2 linked regions of the Stegostoma tigrinum genome follow. The protein of the gene in region 2 binds, or shares a complex with, the protein of the main gene of each other region. Links are inferred from orthologs where the notes say so. Each region holds a gene or a part of one and is shown on either strand. Other genes may lie near its edges.

Region 1 (10,772 bases), on a different chromosome or scaffold from region 2:
GAAAGCTGTGATGCATGTGTCTGACAGTCCACGAGATGGACAGTCACTGTGTAGGGAAGCTTTCTGTCTGTTTAAGCTTCCTTGCAGGGGAAGAAAATGTAAGCTCTCAGTCATATTGTTTAACTACTATCCACATTCTCAGAATTAATTACCGAGACTACAAATGGACATTGCAGACTAGTAATGACATGGCAACCCTCATAAACTAGCTGAAGACCTTTGGGATATAAAGGTCAAATTATACAGGCCTATAAACTCAGTTCTGATCCCAGGAGGGCAGGTTCCCACTGAGTTTTCTCTCCACACAGTACCAACAAGCCCTGACTTAAATATACAAAAGAAGCCACCCAGAAAGCCAGTGCTGTCACAAGCTGTGATAGTAATGGGCAGGAATCAGTACAAGATTCCAGTTAAAATGTTATAGAGCTATATATCAAAAATATACATTCATTAAAAAAAATGTTGCATTCAACAATAGGGAGACGTGCACATGGGATTTTAAAGAAAAGATTTTCAGAGCACCTTTCAGAACCCCAGGGTGTCCCAAAGCAGTTTTACAGATTATTAAGTGCTTTTGAAATGTGATCACTGTTGCAATGTAAGGAACATGGCAACCAATTTAGAGCAACAAAGATTCCATAATCAGCAATTTGATAACATCTCTGCAGACCTTTTTGTTGTCATTAAGTCCAACTGTAGCATTCAAAATATAAATGTAATTTAGCAACTCAGTGTATTGATGCATTTAGAACAGAGGCAGTATGGGACCCTTCAGTTGTGGACAACTGCCCCTCTACGTGGCATAATGAGCACTCCTTAACAATGACTGGAAAGAGACTTCACAACGTCAAGTCGTTGGGGGCTCTTTGTGGTCATTTTTCTGCAGCAGTGAATTTTGTGCAGCAATGTAAGAATCATTGGTAATACATTTTTGTGACTTTGGTTGAGAAATAAATATTGAATAGGACATTGCCAAGAATTTAAATTATTAAAATAACTTATGTTTTGCAAGTACATTCATATGTTGCTTCCCTGCATCATTTCTTGAGGTAACAGGTCAGTGAATGTGGAAAATCTTTTCCCACACCTTTTTTTAACTTAGATTGTTTAACACAGACCTGTTTACTTTAAACAGTGCATTAGATAAAAGCATGAGGCGGGGGAAATGCAAGTACTTAGGAGCTAACTGTACTTCTTAAACCATAATTAGTTTTCTACAGGCAACAGCAGAGCTATGAGGAAGTGGGTGGCTGTCCTGTTCAAAGGCTGCCACCAGCGATGCTTGGAACGCAAGCCTCAGAGAAGAGTGATCCAGGCACATCTTCAGTCTCAGTTTTCTCCCATACCGTAGAGAGACATGAGAACTCTGTTTGCGATATCAATAGCATAGTCTATTCAACAGGGTTTTCTTACATCATGACCTGTTCGCAGCTTCACAAAGAAAGATTTAATGGAACCATTGAAACGTACTGCACAGAAGGAGCTATTTCTACTTTTTGTATCCATATTGTCCCTTTTAAAAAGCAGTTGTTCTTGGTCCCCCAGTGCCTTGCATTTTGTCCAAAGCTCTGAAAGTTCCTCATCCCCAAGCACTTGCCTAACACCTTTTCTAAACTATTTAGAGAATCAGCACTTCTAAAGTTAGAGTTTCAAGATCCTGACAGTCCCACGGAATTCTCATAACTCAAATCAAATCACTTTGACCCTTGTCTGGAAACTAATTTAAATGATAATGCAATGGACTAATTTCATGCGGTGTGCAAAATGTTTCAACTGTAATCGGAAAATCTCTTGATAACTAACATACCTTCAGTATTGTAAGTAATTCTGGGAATTTTATAATAGGAAGGATATTGTTTACTTAAAGGGTGCAGAGATGAGCAAAGGAAATGAATCCACATGAAAAATTTTTAAGTTATAAGGTAGTGAAGATGTTAAGAATGCAAATTGAAACTTTCAAGATCAGAAATACTGAAAAGTTATAGAGTCATGGCGATGTACAACACGAAGCAGACCCATCGGTCCAAGAGATAATGGGAACTGCAGATGCTGGAGAATTCCAAGATAATAAAATGTGAGGCTGGATGAACACAGCAGGCCAAGCAGCATCTCAGGAGCACAAAAGCTGACGTTTCGGGCCTAGACCCTTCATCGGTCCAACTTGTCTTCACTGGACCAGGTACCCTAAACTGATCTAGTCCCATTTGGCAGCGTTTGGCCCATATGCCTCTAAACCCTTCCTATTTCAGGTACCTATCCAGATCCCTTCTATATGTTATAATTGCACCCACTCCACTACTTCCTCTGACAGTTTGTTCCATACATGAAACACCCTCTGTAGGAAAACAGTTGCCCCTCAACACCCTTTTAAATCTTTCCCTTCTCACCTTAAACCTATGCCTTCTAGTCTCCCCTAGCTTCAGAAAAAGAGCTTGGCTATTCACCCTATCCATGCCCCTCACGATTTTATAAACCTCTACAAGGTCACCCGTCAGCCTCTGACACTCCAGAGAGAAAAGCTCCAGCCTATTCAGCCTCTCCCCATAATTCAAACCATCCAATCCCAGCAACATGTTTGTAAATCTTTACTGTACTCTTTCAAGTTTAACAACATCTTTCATACAGCCGGGGGACCAGAATTGAACACAGTATTCCAAAAGTTGCCTCATCAATATCCAGTACAGCTGCAACATGATGTCCCAACTCCTATACTCAAAGCACTGAATTAAAACATGTGAAACTTAAGAGCAGAAAGCGTAAACTTTTTTTCATACTTCAAAAGACTAATAGACTTGTGGAATGAGTTAGCAAAGAAGGCTTAAGGAAACTGAATATGTTTCTAAAAATGATTAGTGGTATTGAGATCTTTTAAAAGAAGCTTGTAGGATTTACAGCAATCACCTTCTCCTAAATATTCATATATGAATACAGCCCAGTGGTATGAGAGTTCCTTTAATAATGCTAGGTCTTGATTCTGGCATAGTGCTTTTCAATTAAATGACAAAAATGCATGAACCACTGAACTGCTTACAATGAAGTCTAAAGTACATCTACAGGGCATTTAAACTAACCAACTGTCCACTATTTACTAAATAATAGATCAAATATAACACTGAGCATTAAGCCAAATCTTAAAACACTAAGCTCCAGTCAACTCTATCTTCCTACAAATCGTATTTGTGTATATTCAAAATATCCTGAGAATTAAACTGTAACTAGCCCAAGGGACATCTGCAGCTGCAGTGTGTCCATGAGATGAAAGTGACAAAGACGAAAACTGGTTAGCATTTTCATTCCGGTTCCTCCCAGCGTTTCTGCACCCTCTCCCTTCTCTTTTACTAAGGGTAATGACTATTGCCAATGTACAGTATGATAATGTGGGCATCAGAAGCTTGTTGGCCTCTCACCAAGGTGGCTGTTCTTTGGTTTACACGTCACTGTACACAAGGTAGAGTCAGCCACATTGAGAATGAAAGAAGAAAATTAACAAAACAAAAAATTATTAAAATTAATTAAGTTAGGAAACATACGTGACTTCTTAATTAACGTTGTATTTTTCAGATTATTTTTAAGAGTAAGTCCTCTGTACTGATTTGATAAGGTTAGATTGTCTACAAATCCACTCTTTACAGGAGTACGAATTGCATTGGTAGATAATATTGTTCAAATACACTTAGAAAAGGACGTTCTTGCACATTTTCATTAAGGAGGAATATTTAAAATCTAGAGAGTTTGTTGTCAGTTTAAAAATACCTGTTGGTTGTGAGCCTGTGTCCCAGGTATGGAGCAGACCTCTTCGGTGTTGTTACTGAAATAAACCTCGCAGTCTCGTCTCCCCTTTTGGAAACTCTGAAAACGGATGTGACAGTCAGTGGCTGGAGTATCTCAGACAAATATGGACAGTAGGAGCTTTGTATCAGTTCTGAACAAGCTGAGCTTCAGTTGCTTCTCTGAGGGAACTCTGGGCATCGTAAGGGGCGAAGGTCAAGAGATGAGAAGAATGCTGAGGGGAGCCGGATAGAATGGTGCAGTCAGAGGGAGCAAGCCTAGACTAAGCGTAATACGGCACACACACAGTGGAAGCTTGTTGGAGATAAAGGAGGGACCAACATTTTTAAAGCAACTGACCTTGCAGCCAATCAGATATGTATAGTAATTATGCACTGTATGTGTATCTGTGTCTGGAAGGGGGATGGATGGAGGGGGAGGGATTTAGTGGTTACTCATTTTGGTGCTGAATTGACCTCTTTATTCCTAGAAAAGACTTTGCTTGGAAAAGAAGACTTTGAGCAAGTTAAAAGCTCAGGACCACGATGAGGGATCACACTTCAAATGTTAATCTGCTTTTTCTGTTTGAAGCACTGAACTATCTGCTCTGCTTTTTTTCCTGTGTTTTCCATGTTTATGTCAGTTTTCTTTGCATTTGTGTTTTTCACTTTATCTCTGATTCAGAAGGTAATAAGCTGCAGGCTGTCACGTACAGAGTACTGGTGGAGAACTGACAATAGTGATTGACTGTTGTCTACTGCAAACCCAAACGCAAATAAATTAAAACTGCAAACTCTGGAACTCTGACAAAACAAAACAAAAATGTGAGAAATGCAGGGTCATTGGTGAAGGGAATATTACTTTGTCAGTGAAAACTCAGATAAGCGAATATTTTTGTAGCTCGTTTTTTTTCACAATCACGATTTTCTTGAAGGTTAGAAAGGGTTTCTAACATCTGTTCTTTTTTAGTAACCTGGTTTAGTAGGCCTGGGCTCCCCAGGTTGCTATGACTACGTGACCTAAATATCCAGAGCTGAAAGCTTCTACAAACAAGCTCAAGCAATGCCAGAAATGTGAAAGTCACATTTTGAATAAGCAAATTTCTAATTATCTTTCAACATGTTGTCCCAGGAATCTTGAATTGGACTGCCTTAAGTTTCTTTATCATTTATCTTTTGTCCTCCAACAGTCCTCCTGATGATGATGATTCCTGCTACAGCACGGTTACATGGACACAGAATGCTTTTCAATAAATCATGCAGGCAGCTATTCTTTGTGATTGAGTTTGGACAGTGGGTTATTTGGCCATGAAGACTGACACAGCTCAGCCTGCTACTGTCCTTGGATAGACCTTGTAGCAAGATTTGTTGCTAATTATGAAAATGATGTTGATAAAAATTAAAATGGAATGGAGCAAGGTCTGGCAGTATCTGTGGAGACAGAATGAAGGTTAGAATCATACAATCGCTACAGTCAGGAAAGAAACCATTTGGCCCATAGATTACTGCTTGTAGCCCAAAGACTCATTGTTGGAACAGTGCAACTTAATTTAATTTAAATATTTATTTCAAGGCATTTTTCCTTCCACGATTTCACATTCTTTATACTTGGGTGAAATCCCTCAAGAATTAGTGTTTAGTCACACATTTTATTGCTGACTCACTCACTGCTTCCAGTTGCAGCTAGTACAAAGTGCACACCACACTGCACATTAGGATACAAGTAGTTCCCACAATCTAGATATTGTTGTTCCAAAAAAATCTGGATTTTTCTTTGCTGATGTTATCTCTTAGCCACCCAGTTAATGACAAGAGGTCTGACGTTCTTTGAGGGCTTTACCGATGTCCTGCCATAACCCCTACGAGCCACCCACAGAAACTCCATGAGAGTGGGGGCAATCTGGTTGTGATAGGCCTCTGTTGTTTCTAAGAGCACCCATGTAAGCGTCTAAGGGGCACAGCCTCTGGCTGTCAAGACAAATAGTGGCCAATATGTGGATTTCTTAACTTTGTGGTTCTTAGCTATGAAGCTAGATGTGGGCTGAAGAAATGATACAGCAGTGTCATTAAGTCAATGGACACACGGTGACCATAAGGAGTTATGTCAGCCTTGCCACTGAGATCCATGGCTGAGTCAGGCTGCTAATAATTAATAATGAAGTTTTGTTTGTTACCTGGATTAGCTTCCTTTCTCAGGTAGCAAAGGACAATGGGTACAGTGAGAGGTTCCTGAGCACCCAATCCCAAGTGGCAAATAGGTAAGTTTCCATTGATGTGTGGGCATCAAAGATAGACCCGTAGTGGTCTGTTTACCCTAGAGTTGTCCACCTACTGACCCCACACTAAAGTCACAAAAGGTTGATACAAGGAATGTCAAGGTCATGGCAACTGTTCTGTTGCTATCGGTGAACCTTTGGTTCTGTATCCATGTGACTAACGTGCATGTGTACTACTAACAGTGAGCATCAGCAGCATTCCCAAAATCCAGAGAATCTAATCCTTCAATTGCCTGACACTCACATATGCACTACCTCAAATAGTGATCATGGATTGTGATCCAAAGAAGAAACAGCTGACTGATTTCATGCCTGCTCCATCAGGGGCACTGAGAGTTTTTCTAACATCTTGACTGATCAATTAATTCAGCACAAACAGCAAATCAAACTTGGAACTGTCCTTTCTTTCAAACAGTTCAATCGTTCACTCAATAAAACCCCCTGACCGATCAGGTAAATAATTACCCTGTATCTAAAGCACTACTTCATGAGCTGAGCCGAGCAATTCAAATCAGAATATTTCTTCTCTTTATTAATTGATATTCTTTCTCGAGATGATTAGCTCCAAGTAAGTGTAACCTCAACATTGCACATCTGTGAAGGAAATATCCAACTGAACATTTCAGTCTCCATGCTCTGCAAATGCTGATTTATATGACAGCTTGCTGAATAAAATGTGGCAATTTGCATTTACCTAGGGGTCCACATTGATAATTAAACCCTGCTGCTACCCATTAATTGCACCGAAGAGTCTCAGGTGATTACTGGTTGAAATTTTAAGTTCCTGATTTTATGTTTATTTTCAATTCCATCCTTTAATGTAAAATCTATCCCTTCTTTCTCTGCAGGGCTACAATTGTGCAGATACTAGTTCCCGCTTGTATTATTCATGCAACTGGACTCTGCTTATCCGTGATTTGGAAAACGAACACAAGCAAGATATTCAGCCTGGGCACCTCAGCCAAACTTTACTGTGCCCTTCTTCAACATACAAAGACAGCACAGGGTTTTGGGGCTTTGATAGTTTTGGAAATGGAGGTGGATGGAACCCAAGAATACCAGAACTAGCTGGAGTACTGGTTTCCTGTTCCCAGTGTCAGTTTATTTTGGCTGGAGCAGATTCAGAGCTGCAAGAGCTTTTCTATCTCATGCCACAGGCTGTCATTTAGGCTCATTTTAAAAAATTTTTCTCATGGGATGGTTGTCACTGGCTGTCCAGCATTTGAGAAGATGATGATGAGCTGCCTTCTTAAACAGCTACAGTCCATGTGCTGGGTGTTGACCCACAATGCCCTTAGGGAAGGAATTCCAGGATTTTGGCCCAGCAACACTGAAGGAATGGGAATTTGTTTCCAAGCCAGGATGGTGAGTGGCTTCCAGGGGAAGTTGCAATGTTCCACTGTATCTTCTGCCCAAATCATTTGAGGAGGTAGTGGTCCTGGGTCAGGAAGATGCTAACTCAGGAGCCTTGGTGAATTTCTGGAGTGAGCCTTGTGGACAATAAACACTTCTGCTACTGAGCATTGAGGGTGGAGGGTGTGAATCTTTGTGGCCAATCAAGTGGGCTGATGCTTTGTCCTGAATGTCATGGTTCTTGTAATTTGTTGGAGCTGTACTCATCCCAGCAAATTGAGAGTATTCCACTGTACTCATGACTGGTGCCTTGTGGATGGTGGATTGGCATTGGGAGGTCAGGAGATGAGTTACTCCTACTTTCTGACCTGTTCTTGTAGCCACTGTATTTAGATGGCTAGCCTACTTGCAGTTTAGTTTTTGGTCAATGGTAATGCTCAGGATGTTGATAGTGGAGCATTCAGTGGTGATAATGCCATGAACAACAAGGAGCAATGGTTAGAGTTAGCAAGATTGCAGCTGCTAGAGTCAAAGATAACACAGTGTGGAGCTGGAGGAACACGGCAGGCCAGGCGGCATCAGAGGAGCAGAAAAATATATGTTTCGGATCGGGACCTGTCCATCTTCTGTCCCACCTAACCACTCCTCCCATCTCACTGACAAATCCCCACCATTCCCTACTTGCATTCACCTATCACCATTCCACCTACCTTCCACAGCCCCACGCCTCCTCTCTCTTTATTTCTGAGCGCCCTTCCCCTTCTCCATTTCTGAAAAAACTGTCCTGACCCAAAATGTCAAATTTCCTGCTCCTCTGATGCTGCCTGGCCTGCTGTGTGTTCCTCCAGCTCCACACTGTGTTATCTAAGGAGCAATGGTTAATTGTCTCTTGTTGGAGATGGTCATTGCCTGACACTTATGGGGCGTGAATGTCACCTACCAATTGTCGGCCCAAACCTGGATATTATCTAGGTCCTGCTGCATTCGGGCATGGACTGTTTCAGTATCTGAGCAGTCATGAGAGGTGCTGAACATTGTGCAATTATTGGCAAACATTCCCACTTCTGACCTTATGATGGAGGTAAGGTCATTGATGAAGCAGCTGAAGATGGTTGGGTCTAAGACACTGACCTAAGGAACTCCTGCAGAGATGTCCTGGAGTTAAGATGACCGACTTCCAACAATCACAACCATCTTCTTATGTGCCAGGTATGGCGCAGATCGGATTTAAAAGCTGAAGATAAGTCAGGAAGACTGAATATGATTTTACTGTTGTCCATGTGATGGAGAGGAGTGGATCTCCTGTGAGTAGGCCTCCAACGCAGGCCCAGATACCAATACTCCCTTCTTACCTGGGCAGGACTACAACTATAGGCTGCTCTATAGATGCTGGCTTGGCCGCTTGCTCTACCTTTTAATTATATTTTTAAAAGGGTTAAGAGAGGTGCTTTTCGCTGATGTTTTCTCTTGGTTACTAATGCATTCCTGCAGTTGTTCCCTCCTTTGAAGTTGGCAGATCTCTGGCTGTCACACTTTGAGAGCACACTCCTCTAAATCTGATAGAGAAACTGCCTCCAAGCCAATTAAGAAAGCTATTGGATGGAAAGCAGACGGTTTCCCTCTCCCCTCAGGCGAGTTCAATCTGATGGGTGCATTCTGACCGTGCTGAGAACTTTGCTGATGGTTTTCACTCAGCAAAGGCTGGGATTGGCCAGATCTTTCCAGTCTGACACATTCCAGTGCTGCCACTCACAGCTGAATTGCCTGTTGACTGTCACAGCCTTGGCTTACACTTGAAGAATTTTGTTGAAGACTGCTAGTGCCTGTGAAACTGGCATCTGAGCTGAGGCAGACAGAGAATTGAGATTGGAAAGGCCTTGGAAAAATGTGGGTGGTGGCGAAGGAAGGGCAGTGTAAAATAAGAAAGCCTGGCCTTTATGTCACACTTTGCACAGCAAATTAAATACTGGTAACATATAGTCACTGCTGTATTGTAAGAAATGTGACAACCAGCTTGCAATCAGCAAGCTCGAGTAGACAGATGAGGAGCTTCAATATCTCGCCCACACAATGGCACTCCCTTAGTACTGTACAAAAACATCTGCTTTGATTATTTTTGTGCTGACACTCTCAGCTGAGACTCAAGCCCACAGCCTTTAGACTCAGTAGCCAGTTGTTACCAACTGAACCACAGCTTAAAGATGATGAGGGTCAAAGGGAAGCAAGGTGACCAGTGTGGGTGTGTTTTCAAAGTTTTAACATTATTCCTCCTCTCCCTCCTGTTCTGGCATTGCAACCTTGGGTCACTTGGATGACCATTTTCCTGTAAAGCTGGAACAATGCATAGCACTTTGAGACAGCAAGGGATTGGGAGAAAAATATTAGTTTGGACTGGAAATTCTAAGCAGGCAGAAAACAGAAAAACTTAAATGGCTGCTCTGAGTTTTAAGCAGGTGGAGTTGGAAAGATGCAAGACAAAGGATATTGGTTGGCACCTGTGGCTGTTGTTGCTGAGTTTTACCCCTCAAAATGCTTTCACCCTCTCCACAGATTGATATAAATCGCTGACACACAGTTCAGGACTTCCCTGTGCTCAGTGTCAGTTGTCAGTGCCACATTTGCAGGGATGATGGCCCTGACGAAGGGCTTTGGCCCAAATCGTCGACTTTCCTGCCTCTCGGAAGCTGTCTGACCTGCTGTGCTTTTCCAGCTCCACATTTATTGACTCTAGCTTCCAATATCTACAGTCCTTACTGTCCCCATCAGAAGATGTTCTTGGAGGAGATAGTGAAATGTCAGAACAATAATGGAAAGGACATGAAATCAGAAGTATGTAATGTGACAGAGTGAACATGGGTTGAACTTTTAAGCAGTTACAGCTTCACCCAAGATCACTGACTCAATGCGATGGAGTCTTGAGATTTTTTTAGGTGAATTTTTCTTATGCCTTTTCCCTCTAGATTTTTTCAGTCTTTAAAGTGGAGATTGGAGATGTGGTTGGTGCTGGGGTATGAGTGAGACGCTAATGTGACTTCACAAGTATTAAAATACAAGCAAAAAATGTTGGTGGACCCAGCTTAAGGTTTGCGTGTTAGAGGACTCATTGATTTAAGGCTGGATTGGCAGGATTGAGGCCAGGCCAACACATTGGAGATAGATGGTGATGTCAGTGGTGGGACTGGTGTTTGAGTTTGCTGGACCAGTTTGGAGTCAATCCTGTTGAGTCCCAGTGATGGGTGAACTACATATTGGCAGCTTTTGAGACAAAGGAGTGGGATTGGAAGCCAATGAGAGCAATCAGAACTGGGTATTGGACTTAGCAGTATACCTCTAGTGCAGTCTGCACATTCATGTCTGACAAGGAGTAATGATTGCA
Region 2 (10,528 bases):
CCTTGCTTAAGAAAGGATCAAGGCAAAAGATGGAAAATTATAGGCCGATTAGCCTAACCTCAGTAGTTGGTAAAATTCTAGAATCCATTGTCAAGGATGCGATTTCTAAATTCTTGGAAGTGCACGGTCAAATTAGAACAAGTCAGCATAGATTTAGTAAGAGGAGGTCGTGCCTGACAAACCTGTTAGAATTCTTTGAAGAAGTAACAAGTATGTTAGACCAGGGAAACCCAGTAGATATTATCTATCTCGACTTCCGAAAGGCCTTTGATACGGTGCCTCACGGGAGGCTGCTGAGCAAGGTGAGGGGCCATGGTGTTCGAAGTGAGCTACTGGCTTGGATTGAGGATTGGCTGTCTGACAGAAGGCAGAGAGTTGGGATAAAAGGCTCTTTTTTGGAATGACAACTGGTGATGAGTGCTGTCCCACAGGGTTCAGTGTTGGGGCCGCAGCTGTTCACCTTATATATTAATGATCTGGATGAAGGGACTGGGGGCATTCTGGCGATGTTTGCCGATGATACAAAGATAGGTGGACAGGCAGGTAGTACTGAGGAGGTGGGGAAGCTGCAGAAAGATTTAGACAGTTTAGGAGAGTAGTCCAGGAAATGGCTGATGAAATTCAATGTGAGGAGATGTGAGGTTTTGCACTTTGGAAAAAAGAATACAGGCATGGACTATTTTCTAAATGGTGAGAAAATTCGTAAAGCAGAAGTACAAAGGGCTCTGGGAGCGTTGGTCCAGGATTTTCTAAAGGTTAACTTGCAGGTAGAGTCCATAATTAAGAAAGTGAATGTAATGTTGTCGTTTATCTCAAGAGGGTTGGAATATAAAAGCAATGATGTGCTTCTGAGGCTTTATAAAGCTCTAGTTCGGCCCCATTTAGAATGCTGAGTCTAATTTTGGGCCCCACACCTCAGGAAGGACATATTAGCCCTGGAGCATGTCCAGCAGAGATTCACATGAATGATCCCTGGAATGGTAGGTTTAACATATGATGAACGGCTAAGGATCCTGGGATTGTACTCAGAGTTTAGAAGGTTGAGGGGAGATCTGATAGAAACTTACAAGATAATGTATGGTTTAGAAGGGGTGGACACCAGGAAGTTGTTTCCATTAGGCGGGGAGGCTAGGACCCGTGGGCACAGCCTTAAAATTAGAGGGGGTAAATTTAAAACTGAAATTTGATGACATTTCTTCAGTCAGAGAGTGGTGGGCTTGTGGAATTCATTGCCACGGAGTGCAGTGGAGGCTGGGACGTTAGAAGCCTTCAAGGCAGAGATCGACAGATTCTTGATCTCAGAAGGAATCAAAGGCTACGGGGAAAGTGCAGGGAAGTTGAGTTGAAATGCCCATCAGTCATGATTTAAATGGTGGAGTGGACTTGATGGGCTGAATGGCCTTACTTCCACTCCTACGTCTTACGGTCATCTCAGGCTGGTCTAGCATTTATTTCCAATCCCTAACAGCCTTGCTAGGGCCATTTCAGAGGACAGCTAAGACTAACATACTGCTGTGGCTCTGCAGTCACATCTAGTCCAGACCAGGTAGGGGGCAATAAATTCCCTTCTCCAAAGGACATGAGTAAACTAGATGGGTTTTTGCAACATTGGCTTCATGGTCATCATTAGGCTAGCTTTTCAATTTCAGGATTTTTTTTAAAAATTGAATTCGAATTTTACTATCTGCCATGGTGGCATTCAAATCCATGCCCTCTGAACTTCAACGTGCAGTTCAGTAACATTACCAATACACACAACCTTCCCAGTAAATAAAGTTTATGAAGCAGTTTATCTAATACTGGAACAGACAGACAGACTATCTGAACCGAATAATTCCCATTCAAACTGCTGTTCTTGTACAAACTAAAGCCTTACATGATTATTTACAACTGTGTTTTATTCAATTTCCCCCAAAAGTATTTGTTTCTGTTGATGATCTTTGTTTATTTTTTCATAAAAAGAGAGACTTGGCAAAATTCTACAGAGTTCCAATGGTGGTCCCTGTCACCGATCTATCCTCTCAGAGTCGGTGAAGCTACTCACATTTGGTACAATTTGCCAGCACTGCATTTATATTCACTCAAGCAAACGGTATAGTTTTCACAGCACAGATGCTGAGTCATTACTCACAGACAACAAACACGGTCAGCAAAAAAAAACGTTTTAACTTAAATCAGCTCTCCGTTTATTGCATTTCATTTGATTTCAGTTCCAGTGAGGTGCACTGATCTAAAAACCAACAAGTGAAATAGAAGGAATCAGATCCTGTTCCTTTGCTACTATATAATTACTCTAAGCACCCCACCTAGGTACTGCGATAACCCTGTTATTTGATACATATTGGCAGTGCACGCCGATCATGCTGTTCCACATTAAAGTCAGTTCAGCTAAGACATTAGTAAAAATGTCTGATTTGGCCCTTGTACCAACACAGCCTGAAAACAGTAAAGTGAAACCATCCAAATGGTCATTTTGAACTTTTATTACAGTAATTATAATTTGGGCTCATATCATATGCTGCATTTCTGTTGTCACACGCACATTACAAGCTTTGTACCCAGGTTTTAGTCTATTAAGCAACAGGAAAGTAATTTTGTACCATGCCAAGACGAGTTTCTTTTGACTTGTGCAGCTATATTTTAAGCTGTTGAACTATAGGTAACCGTCTGCTAGCAGAGACTGACAGGGGCAGCAGGCACATGGAACAGTACAACCTGAAAGTGCCCCTTCAAGTCACTTACTATCCAGATCTCAGAAGTAACTCCCTGTTTCTTCTTCTTTGCCCAATAAAACAAGCTGAAATTCTCCAGCTAACAGTATCACGAGTCCATTTTACCGCAGGACTACAGTAATTCTCAAAAGGCAACTTATCACCACCTTCTCAACGGCAACAAGACCCCAAAATACATTGTTCATAACCAGGGTTCCAGTAGCTGACCTTCAGGCCAGTGAATGCGGCCGATGTGTACACAGCCTTGACGGAATTGAATCTCTGTAAGGCTTATTCCATGTTCCCAGATTTGCTTATTTTCTCTCGCTCTGTTATTGTGTTCGAAGAAAACAGCCCGAAGACAGAGAGGGGCAGATGGATACTGGGAACATATCAACATAGAAATGATGAACTATGTTCGAGTGAAAAGTTTCTGGTGAAATTTGTTCTCCTACTTTTGGGGGTCGGAGGGTGGCGTTGATAGTCAAAGAGTAGGATCAGGTGGTAATACTCAGCTATGAAGTTTCACACCCACACTCGGAGCATCAATAAACAATTTGTAATTCTTGCGTAGTGCATTTGCGAACAAACGAACAAGATTTAACCAATTCCTCCAATTCAGAAAAAAACCCGGTTTGCCAGTAAACGCTGCATTTAACAACCTGAAAGACAGTATTTACCACACAGACGAATCTGAATCTGGATTCTCTTACAGTTGCAAATACTCTGCAGGATAAAGTGCACACGAAAATAAATGCCCACTCTCCTCTATCATAAAAAGGAGCCTCGTAAGTACTGGTCCGGGGCTTGGGACCGGTCTCGCAGGAGAGGGAACGGTCGTGCACAGAGTTCCAGCTAGCAGCCTGGGGCCCCGGCCTCCACACTCCCCATTCAAACAGAACCAGCTCCAACTAACATCGCGGCACCATCACCCACCCGAGCTTTGCAAACAGCGGCAGCCGATTCGGGGGGAGCCACTGGCCAGCGAGGCTGCACTTCACTGCAGGCACGGGAAGGGGACTTTGTGAACGTGAAGAGATACTCACAGGCACAGACATCTCCGGCTCTTCCTCCGCACCGGGCGATCTGAAAGGGATGTCGTGCTGATCAGTTTCCTCCCAGCGTTGGGAAGGCGGCTGGGAATAACTGCCTGATTTTTCGGGAAGGCGATCAGGTGGATCCCATCGTCTCCCTCTGCCACCCAGGACTGTCAGCACCCTGAAGTCGCAGGTTCCGTTTGCTTGCAGCTCTGTAATCTTCAGTTCAGTGACAGCCTCTGGCAGGGAACTGCGCTCCTGGTGAATTTCCACTCGCTTTCCCACCCCCCAACCCAGCCTCCTGTCAGTCTGTGTGTGTGTCTCTCTCTGGCTCTTCCCCAGCCCTGGGCTCCTACACATTAACTTGCACACTGTCTCGTACTGAATCCTTGTTCTAACGCCCAGACCCACCACCCCACTACTACTTCTTCTTCTTCTTCTTCTTCTTCTTTTCTTCTCTTCTTTTCTTTCTTTCTCTCTCTCCTCCTCTTTCTCTTCCTCCCCTCAATCGCCTGCAATGACGAAATCGGCAATTTCACCTTAAAGGCACCGCCAACCGTGCAGAGCGCAGGCGCTGGGAAACCGACTCAATCCAGTGGGTAAAGAGTTTCCATTAAAGGGACCATACCCCTACTTTCTCCAGGAATGGCCTGCCTCGCACTTTTCTGCTAAAAGGAACAGTGACAGCAGCTGGGGCTCTGTCAGTTTGGTTCGATCAGCTGTTTGCAAAAGCCCGCACACAAAACAGAGAGCCTCCGTTCACTGGAGTGCACCTCCCCATGAGCTCAGTGCAAACAGTTACACGTCGGCAATAGAGAGTCGCTGAGCCTGTCTACACAGGGGGTTATTGCCGGAGCTTAATCTCCTTCACTACTCTTTGACATGAAGCAGCGCAGGACAGAGCAGTGCGGAGCTACACAGCGTCCCTGTGCAGCCTGAACCACCGTGTTCACAGGAGCGCCATGGTTTTTGAGGTTATCTTGAAAGAAACTCATAACCAAGTGCTGCATCTTTACGTTCTATTAATAACATGGGATTAGCAGTGTCCTGGAATTCGACACAGTTTCCGGGCTCAAACATTTCATTGCCTTGTCTGCTATAGAGCTGATTCTCTCAATTTCAGTTTGTCATTGAAACTGAGTGTGGTTCTATCCTCGTTTTACTTTCTCCCACTCTCTGCACGACCACCAAAGGTTCATAGCCAATGATTTATGCATTTTTTAAAGATATTTACCTCAAAGTTATAAACGCCTATGAATTTCAGTAGGTAATGGGATGGAAATAAAGACAGAAAATAGAAAGTGTTATTCCAGGTTGATTAATTGCTGTTTTACAGATATTACTTTTTGTTCATTAACCGAATTCAGAAATTTTGATAGCACGTGACTTAAACAGAAACTTGCACGTATTAGTAAACACGTATTTGCTGTCCTGTGTACATTCGGTGGTGGAGGAAAGATTCTGTAGGAGGAGCCTTGGTGAGTTACTGCTGAATGGTACACACTGTTATCGTTGTGCAGCGAAGGCGAAGGGAGTGAATGTTGTAAACTGGTGAATGGGGTGTCAATGAAGCAGACTGCTTTGGCCTGGATGGTGTGAAGCACGCTCTTGATATGAGTCTTGTGAATCGTGCATTGATGGTGAGTAACTTACTGAAGAAAATATAGTATCTAAACTGCTCCTGTAGTCACAGTATTTAATCTGGCAGTGCAGATCAATTTCTGGTCAATGATAACCCCAAGGATGTTGATTCAACAATGATAATACCACTGAATATCAAGGAGCAAGATTCTCTCTTCATGGAAATGCTCATGGCCTTGCACTTAGTTGGTACAAAATTTCCTTGCCATATATTAGTCCAATTCAGTATGCTGTCCAAATCTTGAGATACATGGACACAGGCTGCTTCAATATCTGAGGAGTTGCAAATGGTCGTGAACATTGTGCAATCACCAGTGAACAACCCAATTGCTAACATAATGATGGAGGGCAAGGTCATTGATGAAGCAGCTAAAAATGGTTGGGTCTAGGACACCACTCTGAGGAACTCCTTCAGATTCTTTCTAGGGCTGAAATGCTCATTTGGACGTCCAGTGCAGACCTGATTGGCCAAATAACTTTGTGTGTGCGTGTGTGTGTGTGTGTGTGTGTGTTCACTCCTATCTGTTTCTCATTCCTGGATGTCTTCTTGCTTAATTATTTTTAACTTCCTGTATTTGGCTCAGCTTCGCTGTTGGTACATCCCACAAGTCTTTTTGACTGTCCACTTCTTGCCTGCTAAAGTTCCTGTTTTCTCACCAGTTCACCCAATTCCCTATCGGTTTCTGACTCTTCTACTTATTTTCCTGTTTGCTAGCTAGTGTCTTTTGCTGCTCTTCAAGCTCTTGACAACACACAAAGTACTTCGAAAGTATAGTCATTGTTGCAATACAGGAAATACTGAAGCCAATTCTCAGATGGAACCACAATCAACAATAAAATAAATAAGTTTGAGAAGGACCACATTAATTAGTCCAATACACAAAAGTTGTCAACACTTTATTAAACTGCATGTTATATGGGAAATGCCATATAACATTGACAGGAACAAACAACTATGAATCTGCAGTTCTCTAACGCCTCCAATCTATTTTCCTTGCCGCTTGTCTAGGTTTCTTTAGAGGCTAATCAATAAAGATTGATTGAGCAAAAATATGAAGATTCAATAACTCAAATATTGTTGTGTCTACTCAGATGGTAGAAGACAAAATAGATAGACTGCAGTCCTCACCATCAAATGATTCCTTTGTTCCTTAAAGAGATGGGAAACAGGGACAGATAAGAGGGAAATGGGAATAAATGATTAGATCCGTGTAAGCTTAAGGATAAGAAGCTTATACAGATAAGGATCAAAACAAACCATTAAAGACACTTGGTCTAACTCTTCCTGGCACATCTATGTGATAAATATTCATTCTGAGATCGCTTGGCATCAATATTACTTGTAAATTAATATATTTGACTCTACCTTGGAGGAGCTTAGGTGACCTCATTCTGCACAACAGTGTTTTGATCATATAGCCTATAATTACATTTGCACCCAAATATCAATTCATTCTAGCTGCTGTACTCACAGGTAATAAACCACATCATTGGAATCAATGAGAATATGGAATGAAATGGTACTGCAATTTTCTGGTTTTACTGCAACAAAAGGTTTCCTGTATTTAAGGCACTTCCTGGCCAGTGATGTGGTCTTCTGAACTCAATATTTTTGCCTTTCTCCTCTCATTTAGTCACATGGCTGGGATGATGGTGGCACAGTAGCTCAGTAGTTAGTACTGCTGCTTCACAGCACAAGGGACGCAGGATTGATTCCAACATCGGGCAACTGTCTGTGTGGAGTTTACACGTTCACAATGTCTGTGTGGTTTTCCTCCAGGTGCTCCAGTTTCCTCCCATAGTCCAAAGATATTCAAGCTAGGTGGATTGGCCGTGCTAAATTGCCCCGTGATGTGCAAGCCAAGTGGGTTAGACATGGGAAATGCAGGTTTATCGGGATTGGGTAGGGGTAGTGGATATGGGTGGGGGGCTTTTCGGAGGGTTGGTGTGGACTCGATGGGCCAAATAGCCTGCTTCCACACTGTAGGGATTCTATGATGGCTTTGTAGTGTACCTACCTGTGACAAACCTTGCAAATTTTTACACTTACTGCATGCAGTGAAATTTGTTTCTCAGGTATTGCAGTTGTCCATAAAACATGAAATAAGAAATTAGTTGTGCTGTGCCTCCATTGTCTTTAAAGGGCGGACATTTGTTAATGATGTGGCTCCATTTGTGATAGATCCCTTAATCACTAACAACAAGGTTAAAAATCTAACCATTGACACTCATAACAATTACAAGAGGAACATATGAAAAGCTTGCACACAAGTTTTAATGATTGAAACATGTTGCAAAGTGCTGAAGCACTTCTAGAGTCTTTAGTCCATCATTAGAAGCTTGTGTGTTCAAATCTTGAAACACAATCTGCTCCATTACTTTATTAAGTGTATCAAACATTCCAAGTCTAATTCTCCTCACCCTGATTTCACAGAACTCTATTCAAGTATTAAGCTAGGACATGACATAGTGTACAGTGACTTTCCGTGCCAAGCACCTCAAGCCTCGCTGTGACATTGTAACTGTTCTGAAACAGTTTGGAAACAAACTTCAACAATGGCCAATAAATAAGCAAAGATCATGCAGCCCCATGTGAAACTGTGATTGCCCATCCACAGTCCATTGGAAGAATGCTTGCATTACACTGAATAGGTCCTTATAAGGCTTTATATAATAATGTAATATACGAGATATGCCAGATACTTCAGTAAAGACGAAGTTCCCATAGCCTTACTAGCCCATAGGGCTGCTGTCTCGCTAAACGAACATAACTGGCGGTGGTTTAACCTCAGGATCAGTCAAGAGAAGAGGTAGAGACAAAGAGTGCTCCATGAAAACTTCAGTCAGTGCAGGGATTGAACCCACACTGTTGGATTTTCCAGGCATTAACTAAAAAAAAAGCTAATAGCTAGCATAACAAGGAATGATTATAAGGTAATAAAGCAGTTAGCTGGTATAAAAACTGCATGAGGGTCTTGGCATTTGTGTCAGAGCGAAGCATGTACTTGATGGGCATTTAATGTTGAACAATGATGATCTTTAGTGATTACTTTCTTTATTCCAATCATATTACTGCAAATATGGAGAAAAAAAGGCTTGTCCCTTTCTGAAGAAGGGTCTCGACCCGAAATGTCAACTATCCTGCTCCTCTGATGCTGCCTGGCCTGCTGTGTTCCTCCAGCTCCACACTGTGTTATCTCTTGCTTCAAAATAGTGCCATGGAATATCTTACATCCACCTAAGAGGGCAAGTGGGATCTTAGGGTCTAACATCCTCATCTAAATAATGGCATCGCTAACACAATAGCACTGCTTCAGAAAAGAGCCAATGCAACAGCCTAGATTTTCCTGTGGGCCCTGAAAACAACAACATACTGACTGAGATGAGAGTTCTGTCATTGTTAAACAAACCATTTCATGACAAATACTTACCCTTTGACTATACAGGCTATGGTTTAAAGTTGATAATTATGAAAGTTTCTTACTTATTAATTTATTGCATTGCTATACAGAGGACACATTATAAAGACCAGCAGCACATGGTGTACATCCTACTTATTGGTCTAGGCTACAAATGATTAGTAACAAAAGCATTGGCAGTGTTCCTACCTCTAAGGCAGGCAACGTGGGTTCAAGTCCCACCTGTTCTAGGGGTGTGTCATAACATCCCTGAATAGGTTGATTCGAGAATATCTAAAAGTGATCTTTGGCCTGCAAATCTGATGTAATTCATTTTCCAGAAATATTCTGCTAATACACGAGAAAAGGAATTGTGTGATCTATTGTTATGGCTTCTCCATCTCAGACAGACCCTTGGGATTGAGGATGACTTGCTTCCACACTGTTTTAATGGATTCAGGGATAGCTGATGAACCCAGTGTGCTAGCTGCAACTTCAGGAGGTGCTGGTAGGATCAAGAGATGAGATGGGTGAGTATGGGTTATGTGCTCCCTTCAGTCTGTTGTATTACCTTTGCATCATTACTGATGACATTTCTCATTGTTTGCTACTACCCAGCATTGAATCTCCTCTATTTTGGTCAATTACCAGGTGGGGAATCCCATGAATCAGCAAGGATGTTTGACTTCTTCAGCGATGCCCTAAAATATTACTGTTGACCTCCTGCGAGCCTCCTGCAATGGCTGAGCTCTGTATGGCGTAGTTGTTTTGGGGCGTGGTGTCAGACATACCAGTGACATGTCCCATCCAATGGAGCTGGTTCTGATTGATTCGCACCTCAATGCCAGACATGTTGGTTTGAGCAGGATGCTGTTGTTGGATGACCTTTCTTGCCTCTAGATTTGGAGGATCTTATGAGGGCCCTCCTGCTGGCATTTACCCAGTGTCACATCTGTGCGGCACTGTCTCTCCTAACTGATTAATGCTGCCATCTGAGGGATCAATCAAGAGAACCTTCATGGTGCCTCCTCGAAGACAATGATATGTTTCCTTGGTTATAGAGCTGGCAACAGTAACTCCACATTCCAGCAGGTCTCCCAGGATTTCGTTGAGGTTACATGTGTCATGGAAGCCAGGAATAGCTTTAATTACCGAAGGAGTGCCTTGAAGTTTACTTGCCTAAGTCATGGACTGTTTTAAAATGAATTTGTGCCTCATTTACCCCTAGGGGACAGTTTCATTTCTCTCCCAACAGAATTCTAGTAGCAGCACAACACCATGTTTTACCAGCATTAAGCCTGGGTTTGCAGTTCCTTTGAGGACCAGCATGTTTTTCATATGATCAGTTATGAGCGAACTGAATAGTCGGAGGATGAACTTCTTCCTGGTTCATTCTGATGTGGCAAAATGCAAGTCAGAAAGTACCACAACACATTGCGAACGAGAATCCCTGAACCCATTTGTTGAAGCTGATGTTTCCACCATTCTGCTCCCAGTTGTTCATGGTGAAAATGGAGAAGAAATTGCTTCCTGCAGCAGAAGAGGCATGAGGCGTTTGGTTCTTAGTCTCATTATCCCACTGTCAGCCACCACATAATTTTATTTTTATTTGTTCATACAATGTGAGTGTCACCAGCTAGGACAGTATTTATAGTAGTCCTTGATAAGGTGGTAGTGAACTGTCCTTTTGAGCCACGGCAATCCAATGTTCGATGAAAATAGAATACTGCTGATGCTGGAA

What was found. Proteins that work in one complex are often made in the same cells at the same time.
Region 1: the proteins of bcar1 (region 2) and SH2 domain-containing protein 3C-like are in contact, whole or in part, in a crystal structure (PDB 3T6G), measured with the Homo sapiens proteins. The link is inferred for Stegostoma tigrinum from reciprocal best matches to the Homo sapiens genes BCAR1 and SH2D3C. Residues at the interface, in NP_055382.2 of Homo sapiens: Ser739, Gln742, Phe746, Tyr747, Gln750, Asn754, Val779, Ser782, Lys783, Ile786, Leu787, His790, Val793, Phe794, Ile795, Asp797, Thr798, Arg801, Gln802, Ser816, Asn817, Cys820, Leu823, Arg824, Val827, Lys831; in NP_733745.1 of Homo sapiens: Thr543, Val544, Pro545, Val547, Gly616, Val617, Arg618, Glu622, Thr625, Leu626, Pro627, His628, Leu749, Leu752, Leu753, His771, Gly772, Val773, Glu774, Val776, Leu777, Leu780, Glu781, Ala783, Arg784, Ala787, His788.

Annotation. Positions count from the first base shown.
Region 1 is NC_081382.1:34,292,232-34,303,003, reverse strand, and holds the start of SH2 domain-containing protein 3C-like, read right to left. Parts: upstream 4,065-10,772; 5' UTR 3,754-4,064; intron 1-3,753. UniProt on the Homo sapiens protein: Acts as an adapter protein that mediates cell signaling pathways involved in cellular functions such as cell adhesion and migration, tissue organization, and the regulation of the immune response.
Region 2 is NC_081369.1:19,943,394-19,953,921, reverse strand, and holds the start of bcar1 (breast cancer anti-estrogen resistance protein 1), read right to left. Parts: upstream 4,278-10,528; 5' UTR 4,109-4,277; coding exon 3,758-4,108; intron 1-3,757. UniProt on the Homo sapiens protein: Docking protein which plays a central coordinating role for tyrosine kinase-based signaling related to cell adhesion. Implicated in induction of cell migration and cell branching. Involved in the BCAR3-mediated inhibition of TGFB signaling.